Drosophila melanogaster: one gene and its partners. The protein of the gene in region 1 interacts with the protein of each later gene in a pairwise test. Each region holds a gene or a part of one and is shown on either strand. Other genes may lie near its edges.

Region 1 (4,580 bases):
ATCCGAGTCCGTCTTTAGTTTACTAGTGATATTAATCCTGTGTTGTAGTCTAAACCGTTTAAAGCTTGTGCGTAAATCGTTAAGTTAAGAAGCATCAACTGAAAATGCGTTTTATACAATTTTAAATCAACAGCATCAAAGGATTGCAGAACTATGGAACTTACTAAAACACATAATTTTAAAGTATAAATTATGAAATATTGTGAGATGACTCAAACGCTGGCCTTTCACATTGTTAGATTGGTCAGCTAAAACCCTACAATAATATATCCAAATGTAGATCAAAACGTATTTTAGAAACAATCAGTTAACATGAAATCGTATAGGATCGTAAGGCTACAAGTGATTCTAAAATCTCAATTAACCAACAAATGCATTTTCTAAAATTTAAAGGGAACCCAAAAGTATCAAAAGGCTAAATATATATAAAGTCAACTGAAATCACTCGTAATAAAAATTAAACTTTAGTGTTTCTAAAAGTGAACCGAATCAAATTTTATAGACAGTTTTATATTTGTATGCCATTTTATTAGCTTACAGTTAAGTCCAATATTTGTGCTGGATGTGGGTATTTGGGACAACTGCAAAGGGGATTTTCGTTTTGGAACGGGATGGAGTTCGGCTTGTCGGAAAAAAAGGAAATATTTTAAGCTTAAACTAAACTGGCGAAGGAAAAAGAGTTTGCCGTGCGCACGGTTTATGGAGGTCTCTTGACGGTGGACTCCACGAATTGGCTGGTGGAGATGATCAGCTCATCATTCACCTAGCCGTTGCGTATGCCCAGCGCCTGCTCCAATTCGGCCCGCTTCTGGTTGACCTTGGTGAAGAAGTAGCGCGAAACGGCCTCGTGCGTCCATGGCTGGTAATAGAACTCCGCCCGACGCTCCTCCTCCGGATTGCCAGCTACATCGGTCATCAGCTGAAAGGACGAAAGGTTTAGACAACGGTATGAGGCAAAAAAGAAAAAAAAAGAACTAACCTTCAAATCCCTCGTCTCACTGATGATCCAGCGATGAATAAACATTTGTGGATCCTTGGCGAAGCTTAGGAAGAACTCCCTGTTCGTCTTCATCTGGTTGATCGTGTCCACCGTCTCGTGGATCTTGGTGTCCAGCCCCTGGATCTCCTGTTGGCTCGCAGTGCTCATCAGGAAGCTGTTCATCTGGTTTTTGAGCGTATCATCCACCTCCACATCGATGTCGTAGCAGGCAGTCTGCTTGTTCTCTGCACCGCTCTCAATGAAATGATTGATCACAATCGGATCGGGCGGATGCAGCAGCGGATTGAGGCGTTGCGGTATCTCGGCAAACTTCATCCGCTGGCAACTGAATATCTGCTCCAGATACTTGTCGCAATTGATGTACTCCCGCTCGTGGGCATCCTGTAGCTTGTGCGTCTTGATGTACTGCCACAGGGCGGATATGATCACCGGCCTGGTCTGTGTGTGTACGCCCAGCAACCTGGCGAGTCGCGGGTCCAGCTTGAACTGCAGCGGCTGGTAGTCAAGCAGCAGGAGGATGGTGCAGCGCACATTGCGATCGCCCGGCCGCTTCACCTGGAACCCGTCCGTCTCCTGGGTGGTGTGAGTGCGATGCCACTCGACCAGATGGTTGTCCGGACCGTACAGTTCCTTATCCAGCTCGATAACCAGCGACTTGAAAAACGACGAAAACTTGCGTTTGATCTTTGTATTGGGATCGCCCTTGCCATCCTCTAACAGGCGACCCTCCACCCGCAATTCCCAAGAGGCAACGGCGCCCTCCTCGCCATCATTTGTGGGCTCCTTGCTGGGATAGAATGTGTTCGAGATGAAGATGCGCAGCTTGCGCTTCTGCTTCATGGGGCGCTTGAGGGCCTCCTGGATGTCCAGACGTTTGCGCATTATGGTGGCATCCAGTTTTCGCTCAAACGTCAGCAGATCCATGTACGCTTGCGATTCGGGCACCAGATCCCGCACCTTCTGCGGCAGTATCTTTTCGGCCAGCTTCTTTTTCTTTTTGGCCGTCGCAAAATCACTTTTGCTACCACCGCCACCCAAACTGCGGGATTCATTTGACCTCTTGCTGCCTCCGCCGGATCCAACACCGCCACCTCCGGCTCCAGTACCGCGAAGGCTGCTCTGAAAGCCCGGCTGTTGGGCGGCGCGCTGCAGTAGCGATGGTCCCGGTACGCCGGGTACTCCAGGAACTCCCGGTACCCCGGCCACGTTCGCCGTGCCGGGAACAGGTTGAGTAGTGTTCGGATGCAGGGGAAACCCGCGCGGCTGTTGCGGATAAGATTGTACATGCTTAATTGAAACGGTAGGTGCTGGATAATGCGTGGAAAACTCACTGGAAAAGAGGCGCCTGGCGGCGGATAGGGACGCATGCCGGGCGCCGGTGGTGGTGGCTGATAACGCGACTGCACCGGCGCTTGGCCAGGTGCAAAGCGTTGCGACATCTTTGCTACGAAGTCCTCCCTTTTTTCCAGCCGTAAACAATTGCCCTTTGCAGACGAAGGAAAATTTCTGCCTTTTTGTTTCAATACAACAACGCGTCAAACACACACACAATTTCGCCTGTAAAATGGCGTCAAAACAGGGATGCACTATTACTGGTGGTGGTCGACTGGGCGATAGATATTACAACGTTTGGCAGGGCTGCGGCTATCATTTTGCACTTTAATCGAAGTTATTCATTTCAATAGAGTTACAGCTATATAGTTGGCTTTGAAAATATACTTAAAAACTTTCAAGACATTTGTAACAAACAAACAATACGATAAGGAATATACTAGCACTTGCTACTATCGATCGAAAACATTGGTTTGCCCAAACGCTCGATAGTTGCAGTGTCAAGCCATAAACATAAGCAATATCGATAGTCGCCAATAAGTTCGGACAAGTAACGTCTTCTGAAATCGAAGAACGATAGGTTTGAAACCGACTGTCATTTTAACACAGAAAACAAATGGAAATGGAAGACAATTGGTGGGTCACCAAGTTAAAGGCTCTGGAGTCGAAGCCACAAAGGCTGGATGCGCTGACCGCCATGAACTCAGCCATCGCAAAGGAGGCGGCTCTTCCGCGTCAAATAATTGAACGCCTGCTGACCACGGACCAATTGTATGACTGCGCCAATCCCGCCGCGGATTCCCATGTTCCCAAGGATCAGGCCGTGGACGTGACCCTGGAATTGCTGTGCCACTGCCTTGATCAGCTGGCGATGGACACCGCCGACGAGCAGCTGTCCAGTCTGCTAAGACGTGGCTTGACCCACTCGAATCCAGCCTTGCGTGCCCAGGTGTTGGCCAGTTTGTTCAAGAAGCTGCTTCGCCAGTTGACCGTCGGTCAGGTTCTCACCCTGCCCAACAATGAGCTTATTTTCCTCATCTTGGACGAGCTGAAACAACCGGATACGCAGAGTACCTCTCTGGCCATCAATATCCTATCCATCGTGCTGCCTCAGCGAATCAGCAATGCCGATGTGCAGGCAAAGCTAGTACAGCTCCTAAAGCAAAATGAGATCGTGCGCTGTCGCGCCTACGAATTGGCAGTGGTCCTGGCCAAGAAAAGTGCCACCTTACTCAGTGACGTTACATTTATTCTGGATGCGGCTCTCAGCGAACTGGATAACGACGATGTTTTATTGCAGGCTAGCGTAATGGAGCTCCTAGTGCCACTGGCCGAACAAAACCATGGTCTGTCCTACATGGAACGTCGTCGCGTTTTGGATATAATCAGCTATCGGGTCCAACGCGTCGAAGAGCATCCGCTAGACGCCCTGCTCGTTCCCAGCATTATGAAGTTTTTCGGCAAAATTTCCGTATACCAGCCTCTGAAAATCATTGGCGGCTACCCGCACATGCTGGCCTGCTTGTTCATGCAGCTTCAATCGGAGGATGAGAGTATTCTGCCCACTGCCATGGATACGCTTGCCAATTTGGCCACTACTCCACAGGGCAAGATACTGCTGAACATGCACTTTAGCGGGGCCATGGAGAAGTCCTTTAAGAAGTATGGCTCGCATACTAAGAAGCTATCGGCGCACATCAAGAAGAGGCTGCTCAACTCCCTGGATGTGATTTATGACTTCAAGACGCCGCCTGCCACAGAAATCATGTAATGCTTAACTCTATAATTGAAGTTTTTCTTCTAATGATTCTCTTCTTTTTCAGTAACATTGGTAAAAACTGGTACGAGTGCTTCGCTGGGGGAGCGCATGCTAATATCATTATGGACCTGATAAACACTCCGTTCCCCGATCTTCAAATGGCCGCCTTGTCGTTCTTGAAAACCATTTGTAAGTACAACTGGGGCATTGTAGCTCTAAAGAATACCGGCGGTGCTGTGGAGTTCCTTCTTTCGCGTCAAAAGGATCTGCACAGGGACATTAAGTATATGAAGTGGCAAATTATGGAGATTCTGTCCGCTAGCGCTGAGTTTTCGCCCACCGAAACCATCCGTTTCACGGCCTATGTGAACGAGGGACCCTATCACGTCCAGGCGGATCTCGATGTAGCCACTGAACCTCAGGGCAACGCATAGAAAGCCGGATGGCAGGCATTTGCGGCCTTCGATTGCAAGTCCTATGTTCAAAAGC
Region 2 (4,938 bases), on another chromosome or scaffold:
CAGTGTAACGTTGCAGAGTCACTTGCTCCGCAGAGAGCCGCCACTCAAAGATCAACCCTCGATGGCAGACTCTCGCCTTTATGGACTACGAAATGTGCAATTTCTGCTCGGGTACCGAGTTTTACGATTTTTCCATAGGTCCCAATATGCCGGGCATCTGTGTGGTAGGGGTTATTTGGTTGTTGGCCCAGTATCGATGGCAGGCCCGATTTTAGACCCAGTCCACTTAGGAATTCCACGGACAGACCACATGGACTCTCTAGCATTTTGCCACTTCAGTTGTTGCTTCAGTTTCAGTTTTTTTTTTCCTAGTTGCACTGGGGAAAAATGTGAAAATGTGTTCCCTTAGCACAATTGTTGCTCTCCCCTGGCTGCAATTTTTAATGTGCCTTTTCCGATGCGCGTTCTTTTTTTTCTGCCTTTGATGCTCTCGAGTTTCCCCTAATGTGGCTGGAATATGTCGCCTGGCCATAGCTTCTATTATGGCCTTCTATTTTCGGCCCAACATTGATGACAATTTTCATATTTGCCATAAAGTCGAAAGGCAAATATTGCGTATCTTCAGGACAATTGAAGAAATGCTCCAAATATGAGTTTACTTTATGCTAATATATTAATATACAGCGTAAGTAATCATCATATTTTTGATGAATTTCTGGCATCTGTATCATCAAACATCCTAAAACTCTTTGTATAATTTTTTTTTTTTGTATTTTTTCCCATGATATTTTGGAAGATTAATTCTCCCACCGCTCTGCGAAGGTGAGTTCTCATGGTCCCTCCCGAAAAACGTCTCATAAATGTTTCCTGACAGTGAACATCATCGAATTGAAGACCAACCCAACCACAGACAACACTCGGCGCACAAACTCAAACTTTGACACTGATAGAACATGGGGAATACTAAACCGGGGGGCTCACCTCAGATGCTACAATATATATGATGATGGTATATGCTATGTGCGCCACATCAAGTTGGCTTATATGCTAGATGGGTCTTCTATTTCTGCTATCGGAACTCATCAAATATGCACGACGAGACCAAGACAAAACGTACGCTCACGGATGGAAAATGGGAAAGGGACAGGAGACAGGGACAGTGGACAGGGGACAGAGGACAGGGAATCATGGATATCATGGAAATCATGGACTCGGAGCGCGCTGGCGATGATAATTTGATCATGCGAAAAGCGCACGCAAAAGAAAAACATGCGCAGGTACAACAACAAAGTCGTTGTAGTCGAGGAAAAGTGAGTTTTCCTGATCGCCGATCGGTTTCTAGGGGTGGGGGAGTACCGAGTGGGTGATGGCAATATGGCAACCATATTTAAACACTGATCCCGTATGCGTGTGTGCGTGCGCGGGCGGGAGCGAGATGGGGTGAGAGTGCGAGGGAGAGATGCAATGTTTTTATGCTGCTGCCGATGTCGCTGCACTGTGAGAAAATAAGAGATGAGAATTGATTGATCTCTCAAAATGATGTACAAATTTATTAGTGAAGACACAGAAACAGACATAAAGAAATCAAATTTACCGATTAAATATTATTATTTTATTTAATTAATGTATCCAGTTCAAAATCTTGTGGTACTTATTTCAAGTAATTTTTTGTATCTGAATTTATTAAGAAAATTATGCCTAACAGTTTCGCTTAGAGAATTCGAAAGAAAATATTAATATGAGAAGGTGGGATTTTTCGGTATATTTATTTTTATCAGTGCACGCTGAGAATGGGAATGGATGAAGAAGTGCGCGTATGGTAAATAAAAACCAAAACACGAGGAGGGATTCTCTGCGTCGGCAGAGACGTCGACAGAGACATCGGCGGTGGCAGAGGAAAATGCAGACGGCGCGGAGTGTTTTGTTCTCGTTGAAGTTTTAGAATTTATTCCGTTTCGGGATGTCAATGCAGACGCACGCACTGCGCGAACTCAAGTGAACTGAAGTGAAATATTAAGTCGAACCATCACGAACTTGCATTGCCGCCTAAATTTGAATTTTGAATTTATTTGCCCCGTTTTTTCAAACTGACAATTTGTTAAGTTGCCATTTGTGGCACTCCCCGTTGTGATTTCCGTTTACGGTTTCTCGAATTCGCGCCCTGTGCGCAACTTTTGGCGCGTGCGCATGCGCAGCCAGTGAAAGTGCAAATGCATCGCAAATCAGAGCTCTGAATTGTGGTAGACTCTGCGAATCGCATATCAACTAAGGAAAAATTCACTGCATAAAGGATCTCAAGATGTTTGTCACTGTGGATAACACAAACACCTTCTTCTCAGGTAAAAAGAGTGAAAGAGTTTCTTAAAGACTTTATAAGTTTCTTTATGCGAAAAGAATTGTAACAAATATCAAAGTTTTAAGTTAGAAAGTATGAGCAAAAGCGAAAGATTATACAAAGATACAGAGATTCATACAGATTAAAAACGTACATATATGATATTAAATAAATGTTATTTATTATACTTTATAAGCACATCCTCAAACTTTGATAAGTTCAAATCAGAAAACTAACTCCATTCCTCATTCATTCTATTGCAATTGAACTCCCCAGACAACCCGTATTACTTTTGCAATGAAACCAAGTCGCCGCGCACCCCGGACTCGCAGTCCTCCAGCCGGGGATTCTCGATCTTCAAGCGGCGCAACTCGAAGGGCAGCAGCCCCCGGCCGCTGGTGATGACCAATCCGGAACAGATGCGACTGATCACATCCGCCAATCTGGATACCACGGCTACCATGGCATTAGGAAGTCCGCGGGGCAGCTTCAATTCCCTCGCCGGCTATCCGCAAGTGAGTAGCGATTTAATAGAGCATATTCCGATCTCCGATTTCGGAATACTGATTCTGATTTATCTGCTGGATCTGCCACTTCCTGTGGAGTCGAGTGAGCCCTTCTAATGTGCCGTCCTCTTCCGTTTTGCGCATTTCAGCACGCGATTGAACTGCAGACGATGAACATGTACCGCCAGCGATCTGCAAATTCGCACTCAGAGTTCCGGGAACGCCTGAATTCTTGCAACGAGACCCACAGCTCCCAGTGTCCCGGAGGAGGAGGTGCATCCGTAGCTGGGGATCACGACGAGGTCTTCAATCCGCTGACATCGCCAACAAGGTGAGCAATCCCCAGAATCGAGCATTTAATGGGGAGGGTGAGGTGATGACAGGATGCGATTGCAGCTGTTGACAGTTTCGAACCGCCCCCTTTTCCGCCCATGCTAATCGTGCGCCCTTTCTTTTCTCCCCCCACCCCCCATCTTTGCGACCAATCCTCAGTAGCAAATCGCATCGACATCACACCCTGCCAAGTGGCGGAACTCGTCGCCATTCCCTGGGAAACTGGGCCCAACATCAGCATCAACAGCAACATCAACAGAACTCTGGAGCAATGGGACTGGGATCTCCGGATGAGGTGCCCAGCATGATGGCGCCTCGACCGCCGCTCCTCTCGCCAAACAAATTCCGCGGCAGTTCCCATCGACGAAGAGGTGAGTTGACGTTCCACGACACTTGCATTTCCCATCTGCTCAGTATGCCACGGGGCAATCGCGAATTCCTATGCTAATCTGGGCTCAATAAGTAGAAGTAATCCATGTAAATGGAAATCGTTTAGCAAAGTTTTCAGATAATAGAAAAGTCGATAGTTGACAGCAAACGTATATGGATTATAGGATATGGCTGTTATGTCCCTAAAGGAATAAATTTTGGCTCACAAATTTTTAATTTTCTTTGAGAGCTATTTTTTAAATATCTGCTTATTGCTGTGTTATTTAATTTACTCGAGTCTAATATACTTTTAGTTATTTTAATATGCCCCACAAGTTCAGCCGACGCAGTGACAAAGACAAAGTGGTTGCAAATTGCATTCCCTGCCCTCGTTTCGCGTTCGCATTTTTGCACTTTGGCGGCTGTCAGGCGTTCACTCCCCTTTGCCTGCTACTCCATTTTCATGCCCCAAAAGTCCTCCCTTCTGGGGTTTTCCCCCCTGTTGACTCCTCCAGTGGCTGCCCAACAACCTTTACCTCGCAGCTTTGCATCACGTTTGCATATTAAGCGCAACTGCCAGCTCTTCGGAATTTGTTTTTTCATTTTTCGCCTGGCAGGCGCCATGGAATTGGGTCCACTACCCAGCCCCTTTCAGTTCGCCCTCACATTTAAACCACGTTAACAACATTGCAATGTTTACGCAAGTGATAATTGTAATAGTATTTTGTCGCCAGAGCGTCGCCAATCTTTGTTTTGGCATTGTTTTTCCCCGGCAGTGGAGTGGAGCTTCTGTTTGCCTTCGATTTTGTGGCGTAATGAGGGGATCGCATATAGCCGATCGAGCGTATATATAGCTGATTGTTGGCAACGCGCCTTCCTGGCTGACTGACATTTCGCGACTGGCCTGACATTGACAGTCCTCCGTGTGATGGATGCCCCTAAAGTGGGCAGTTGCATGCAAGATGGAAAGGCCTCCTGGTTTACTCGTATGTCCAGCAAAAGTCACAGGTTTATGGTTTATGAGTCGCTCAGGACTCCTTTGCACGATCATTGTGTATTCATCATAAGCGTTTTCAAGGTTTCGCTTTCATGACATCTGATGATTTAAGTTGATTTAAGGCACTTCGTGTGACGTTTAAATCCAGCGCGATTTTCGAGTCTCAAAAGAGATGAGAAATAAGTAGTAGATGAGATACTGAGGAGTGTTTCATACATAGAAATTCAGAGCATGTAGATCTGCTTTAGAAGTGCCGCAATTTATTAGAAGTGTGCCATTAAAGTTTTTACTATTATAAAAACAATAGATTCTTTCCCTTATTGTTATTGTTATCAATTATAATAACGGTTGCCCACAGCGCCTTATTCTAAAAATGATCACCCACCATATTCGACACACTTATCGCTATGGTCACTTGCAATCCATTCGAATCTTTCGCCATATGCAGGAAACTAGGC
Region 3 (6,277 bases), on another chromosome or scaffold:
ATAAGATAGCCCTCCTCATTCCGTTCAATTGAGTTTTGAACTAAATGTATTTATTATTGAAGACTTTTTAATGCATTATTATGTAATTGTAAGCATGTGAATCAAGCGTATTTTTAGTTAACTAGTGTTAAGTTTGGAAAGTTTCTGTTGAACGCACAAACACATTAAATAAATCAAAATGAATATTCTCAGAGTCTGGAGAAGCCACTGTAAAGGTTATTCATAATTTTATTCACAAATGGAAAGTTTTGCACAAAAGGTATCTCTCATTTTGCTCAGTCTTTTCCCCACCTATGGCAGTTTTGCTAGATTCGCAAATTATATTGAAAAACCTGGTTAATCATTTAGCATTAGCTGGATTTGGAGCAACCAGAACCAATTGAGTTTTATTCGGATAATACGGGTTGGTATAAAAAAAAGAATATTGTGGTTTATAAACGGATGAAATTAAGAGTTCGCTTCACAAACAGAATAAAAAGCTTTAAAAAGAAAAGACCAGCGGGCATCTACAATTCATCATTTTATTTTTGTTTGTTTTAATATAAAAATGGCATTTCTTTACTAATTTTAAGTTTAAATTACTAATATAAAGTAGTATGTATGATTGCGGTAATTGAAAAATATATATATATATATATATCATATATTCTCGTATATATTCTTCAAGGTGTGAAAAAATAATTGCAATGAACATGAAACATCTTCTGTCAAGCGTATTTTATAAGAAAGCGTTCAATTTAACTTAATGAATAACTTTTATACCTTTTTTGTTGTTTGCCTTTTCTTTTCGTTATTCATTTTTGTATGGTGTAAAGCAAATCGAAACATTTCAATTGTTTTGTGTGTTTACATTACTTTGCAATAATTCGCATCAAAGGAAGAAACAATTAACAAACGATACTCGAGAAAATAGGCAAATTCAAGCGTTCGTTTCTCGCCTTAGTGTTACAACTAATATGCAAAAATAAACTATGAAAAGTGTTCTTCATGAGTTGTGAGTTATCTTTGTTGCTTCGCTTCATAAATTACAATTTCCAAAAAAACAATATATGTAGTTTGATAGGTTTTACATCATACCTTATATGCTACATCATGTGCCTAACATTATATATTTGCCAATTCTGTCGGTCTGTTATGTACGAAGCTACGTTTGAGGTTTCATTGAATCGTTCTCTCTACGGATGCACCCATATGTATATGTCTGCAGTGGCGGTGTGCTTATAGTTCATATAGTTCATAATTTGATATTTGTCATTTTATTTAGAATTTGCGTTATGTGAAAAACATAAATTTAACAAGTTGGTTTGTTGGTTTCTCTCTTTTGTGGTTTTTGCTTGCTTTTAAATAATTCATCCCTTTGCTGCTAACCGATACAATATATATATGTAAATCTAGGCATAAACTATAACCGTTTTCTTCGCGTGTATTTCAAAATATATTAAACACGATGTATGTTGTAGTTTGTTTTTTTTTTTTTGTTTGTTTTTAGGTTTTTTGCTTTTTAGGTTTTTTTTTTTTGTTGGTTTGTTTTGCGTTTGCTTTAGTTTCCTTATTTGTTGTTTGTTATAGTTTATGAGGGCTGTTGTTGTCGCGGTAGATCTACCGTCACATAAGATCGTAGTGCAATTATTAATTTCTTCTTTCTGAGGCTACAGCTGTGTACACAGCTTTACGACAGGTCTGAAATAAAAATATAATGTAATTAGCACTATAACCATGACCGATGGTAACTTGAACTCACAGCTAGGCGCTGCCTCGTAGCGACGCTGTATCTGATCATATGTGAACTTGACAAAGGCATCGTACTGCTCGGCCAGCTTGGTGGTCAGCACGGACTCGTAGCGCTCCCTTAGCTGATTCTCGCGCTCCTTGATCATGCTCTCGCAAATGAGCTGCACCTGCTTGAACGTGAACAGGGCCTTTTCGCCGTGGCGCATCAGGTTCTGTGGACTGTCCGGGCGGCGCGGACTCTCTGGACCCATCTCCGATCCGCTGGACTCCGAATCCTGCATGCGTTCCAAGGCCGACGAAGTGATCGGCAGCTGTTTGCGCTTGTGCAGTCTCTTGATCTCATTGCACAAGCTCTCGGCCATTTTGTCTGTGTTTCGAAAAGAAGAAAGGTGTATTAAGGTAATATGCATAAAAGGAATCCGACGTCCCTTTTCCAGCATCGACCTGATTTACTAACCTGGTGACATTTTGGCCAGCGACGACTCACTGAACGGACTAGGTTCGGTGCTATCCTTGGCGAATCGGTTGCTGGGCGTGTGGGGCAGACCAGCCGAGGTGCTGGGACCGTCGCGGGATGGCGACGCTGGACCTGCATTGCTCCCAGCCTGGCCAAAGGGATTGCAACGCCGGCGCTTCGGAGGCCGCTGGTTCATCGACTCCCAGTCTAGGGCTCGTTTCAGGGTTGCACAGGCCATCGCTATGATTGAGGTTCTACTACCCGGTGGTCTTCTGATAGATAGATGGCTTGCTTGATTGTCGGTAGATGCTGATTATTGCCTCGATTCCAAATGATGGATGCTGCAGATGGAAGATCAAGCGTCGGCTGCAATGGGCAAACAAACAATGAATGAGTAAGGTGAAGTGAACACCTTGCTGGCAAAGAAAAGACGGACGCAAACTGGTTTCAAGGAAAAAACAGGATTCACAGGCGTGCACTCACGCACACGCAGCCGATAAAAGAAAATGGTGCAGCGATTTATGGCCGCCAATGCTGGCAATTTGGACTTTTTCTCGCCTTGTATGTATCGTGGGCAACAATTGTACGCTCTCTTATCTTATCGCTTATGGGGCGTGATTTTGGAAATAATTTGAGGCTTCAACGCTACAAAACAAGGGCCTTTGCTTAAAAAGAGCGCCGAAAATAGGAAGGTACAAAAATTTTTAGTAAATACTTTTCGCTAGTCAAAGTTGCTAGCAATGCATAATTTGAAAAGCTATTATCCGATATTTTCCCCAGAAAGCTATTAAAAATAGAAATGCCAGTAAAAAACTTTTAAATGCGAAGTTCGCGTAAGTTTAATGACTTTGATGACGTCCGTTTTACCTAAATAATCATGACAAGAGAGGAAAAAAAATTCAAGACAACAAAAAAATGTTTTTTTTCCCCCATTTCGTCACGATTAAATTATATTGTTCAATAAAATTAGTAAGCAATTAAACATATTGTTATATTCTTATATTCATAGCTTTTTCTAGAATAGAATGACAAAACCATTTTAAAAACCTAATTTTTATGAGACTATTATAGTTTCCACGACAATTAAAAGGATGTTGGCTTCCTTGGGGTTTCTAGCTTCTTTCGGCTATCGCCGACAGCTCCGATACCGTGCACCCAGCTGCTGTTGTCGCAGGAAAAGGGCGATACCGAATCGGAATACGAATCCAGAAACTCCGAAGAGAAGGAGAAACCAGCCAAAGAAAGCGACGAAACGAAGTGGCGCAGCGCAATTAAAGGACGACCGACAATGAAAATAAAAAAAACCACCACGCAAAGGCAAAATGCATAGCAATGCAGAGGGAAAATAAAGAAAACAGAGAAAAGTGTAAACTGTAACCCAATAGCAGAACAACCACCGATAAAAGAAAACTACGCAGGATAATAATGCGTGTTCTTCTCACTCTTCCCCTTTCTTTCTTTTCTTCTTCTTCGTCGCTGCAGCGGCAGCTGTACCAGCTGTTTTCCGCACTAACACACGCACACTGCCCTCTCGATAAACCGCAACACGTGTGTATGCGTCTGCTGCTGGTGTTGCTGTCTCTGCCCACAATTATTAAATATTTAAAGCCATATACAAAACGTTTTTGGGTTTAACGTTATACTCTTTTACGTGACAAATGCCAGAGATTAGTTTAAAAAAAAGCAAACGAAATGGCAGCAGCCAAAGCGATCACACTGGTTGTCCCACTCTAGCCTGCACACGCACGCACACAAAGAAACGCACACGCACACCGTTGTGAGTTGGAATGTTGATTTCATGAAATTTTAAAAATGGTCGCATCGCATATCATTATCAGCTTTTCAGAGGAACAAAAAGTTAAACAGCTTTTCCAACAATCGCACTTACATTAATGCGTATTTTGATTTTTCCTTCCGACTGCTTTTTTGCTTTCTGCACCACTTCACACGCGCTTTATTTACTTTTTTATTGTGCCACTAGTCCGCTGGCACATACCCACTTACATTCACGTCCGTACTTCAGTTTGGGTGATTAATTTAGGTTTTCGGTTAGATATAAGTAATGTTATTGCTTGCTGGTTGTTTGAGCAGTATTCCAAAGGCCACTGAAATGCACTGTCAATAGTTGTTCGTCCTCGGCGACTCGCTAGATATAATTTACAAATTTTCGTCTCGCTTCTTAGCAAAAATGGACGACGATGCTTGCGTGACGGGACGTGAACAGAGTGACCGCATGGCGACCGCTAATATTGGTTGCCCTGCTAACGGATCTATACCAAAAAATACTTTATGGTTCTACCAAATATAGCAAAAACTTCAAATAACCGAAAAGTCTGGGGAGAACATTTTTCAATTGCATATTCTATGTACTTTCTTGAGTCCTATAACCTTAAGTCGTTTGTAGAAAGTTAGCATTATTGCATTTTTATTTTTATGGAATTCAACTCCAAGTAACAAAAAATTAATAAATAAAAAACACCCTCATGTTCTAAATTCCACCGTTCCTTGAAGCCGCTAACTCATCGACGCCAAATTAAAAATAATTTGTTCTATAATAAGAATCCTTTTCTTCTATCTTTTAAAAAACCTTAAAAAGCCTATCTTATGCTTTTTATAAATTATTATTTTATTATTACGATTATTAATCGAAGAACGTTTAAAAAATGAAAACCTTACATGGGAGCATAATAAAATTTAAGTTGTCTTAAAAATATTTAATTTTGAAATATCACTTAAGTTCAAAGTTTTTAGTATTTTAATCAAGCATCATATTTAGTATATTTGATAAGCCGGAAGGTTTTCTATAGCCGTCAATGCGCGGTCCCACCATTCAATTCAACGACAAAGTAGGAAATATTTTCCACTCCTGATATCAAATATTTTTGCACTTTTATAAGCGTCGCCAGGCAATTTTTTTATCCGCGTCTTTGCCGTTTTTACAGCCAATAAAACCAACGACCTTGCCCAGTGCGTGTGCCTTCGTCACCAGTGGAAAAACATTACGTAGGGGCGCAGGACGGAAGAAAGCAGGAAAAGAAAAGATCTATAAATATTTTTAATCGCCGTGAAAGTAGCCAGCAGATTTTAGTTGCAAAATATTATTTCATTTGCGGTGCGAGGACACAGTAATCTGCGAAAATGGTCTTGAAAGTCTACGTCAGCGGCATGTCCGGCAATAAGGAGGTGAGTTTGTGGGCGTGGCGGGCTTAAAACCGAAATAGTGTCATGTTATTGGAATGTTTGGCCCTGGTATTAGCGACAAACAGATAAAAAGGAAAAGAAGCAAACTAAAGTGGTGACGAACGCATTGCAAATTCTATTTCTTCTGCTGCGTTTCGTCTTTGTGTGTATGTACGTGAGTTGGACAATGATGATGATGTAGTGTGTGGTATGTAAGTCTGTATGTCTGTACAGTCAAAGAAAAACAAGTGGGTATTTTCGTGAGTGCCCTTGTGTGCGAGTGTTAGTGGTGGCAAGAAGCAGAACAAACATACATTTCATTGCCCATATAAGCTCATTCCACTGTGAACTGTAAATTGTTCATGGAAGAGAGGGATTTCCATTGATCGCAGTTGCGTGGGTGCGTGTGCATGTGTGTGTGTGTGTACATGCGTGAGGGGTGATTCACTTCCCCCTCTCACTCTTTCGGTGCCTTTGTTCAATTGGCAATCTTCCTCTTCCAATAAGAACAAAAACATAACGGTCATTGTACGGTTCACAATTATTTGTTTTTGTCCTGTCTTTGTACACTTTAAAAAAGCGTTGGGAAACACATATTCTTATCGTAAGATAAATGCTGGGGTGCAACAAACCATTTTAATTAGCCTTATCATATCGCGTGGTTCTGGCGTTCTTTTTACGTACATATGTTTATATCGGCGGGGAGTTGGCTTTGTGTGCGCTTGTGTGCGTTTGGGCTTGCCGGTAACACTTCATTAGCGATTTGTCATCGCTGTAATTAACAGCGTTGTCAAAGGTAGCTACACTGAACAAAACGATACATGTTAAAGGTATTTTATATACTTTAATTTTTAACTTTCTTTTCAAATTTAAATGCTTTCACTGACCGTCGAAATCCAATTTTACAGG

What was found.
Region 2: the proteins of Bap60 (region 1) and stumps interact in a two-hybrid assay, tested with the Drosophila melanogaster proteins (one study listed by BioGRID).
Region 3: the proteins of Bap60 (region 1) and akirin interact in binary tests that used the Drosophila melanogaster proteins (3 or more experiments, as listed by UniProt).

The regions. Positions count from the first base shown.
Region 1 is NC_004354.4:13,156,935-13,161,514, forward strand, and holds Bap60 (brahma associated protein 60kD), read right to left. Parts: upstream 2,575-4,580; 5' UTR 2,440-2,574; coding exon 2,332-2,439; intron 2,264-2,331; coding exon 980-2,263; intron 920-979; coding exon 764-919; 3' UTR 511-763; downstream 1-510. Other genes in the region: CG12096 (uncharacterized protein), read left to right, coding at 2,949-4,099, 4,156-4,525. UniProt on the Drosophila melanogaster protein: Involved in the recruitment and site-specific anchoring of the Brahma complex at specific promoter sites.
Region 2 is NT_033777.3:14,589,731-14,594,668, forward strand, and holds the start of stumps (stumps), read left to right. Parts: upstream 1-1,889; 5' UTR 1,890-2,239; coding exon 2,240-2,279; intron 2,280-2,551; coding exon 2,552-2,790; intron 2,791-2,930; coding exon 2,931-3,112; intron 3,113-3,273; coding exon of another isoform or gene 3,274-3,276; coding exon 3,277-3,485; intron 3,486-4,938.
Region 3 is NT_037436.4:7,367,984-7,374,260, reverse strand, and holds akirin (akirin), read right to left. Parts: upstream 4,419-6,277; 5' UTR 4,193-4,418; exon of another isoform or gene 4,077-4,192; intron 3,922-4,076; exon of another isoform or gene 3,711-3,921; intron 3,462-3,710; exon of another isoform or gene 3,236-3,461; intron 2,555-3,235; 5' UTR 2,427-2,554; coding exon 2,189-2,426; intron 2,099-2,188; coding exon 1,742-2,098; intron 1,681-1,741; coding exon 1,670-1,680; 3' UTR 550-1,669; downstream 1-549. Other genes in the region: Sh3beta, read left to right, coding at 5,327-5,371, 6,277-6,277. UniProt on the Drosophila melanogaster protein: Molecular adapter that acts as a bridge between a variety of multiprotein complexes, and which is required for embryonic development and for normal innate immune response.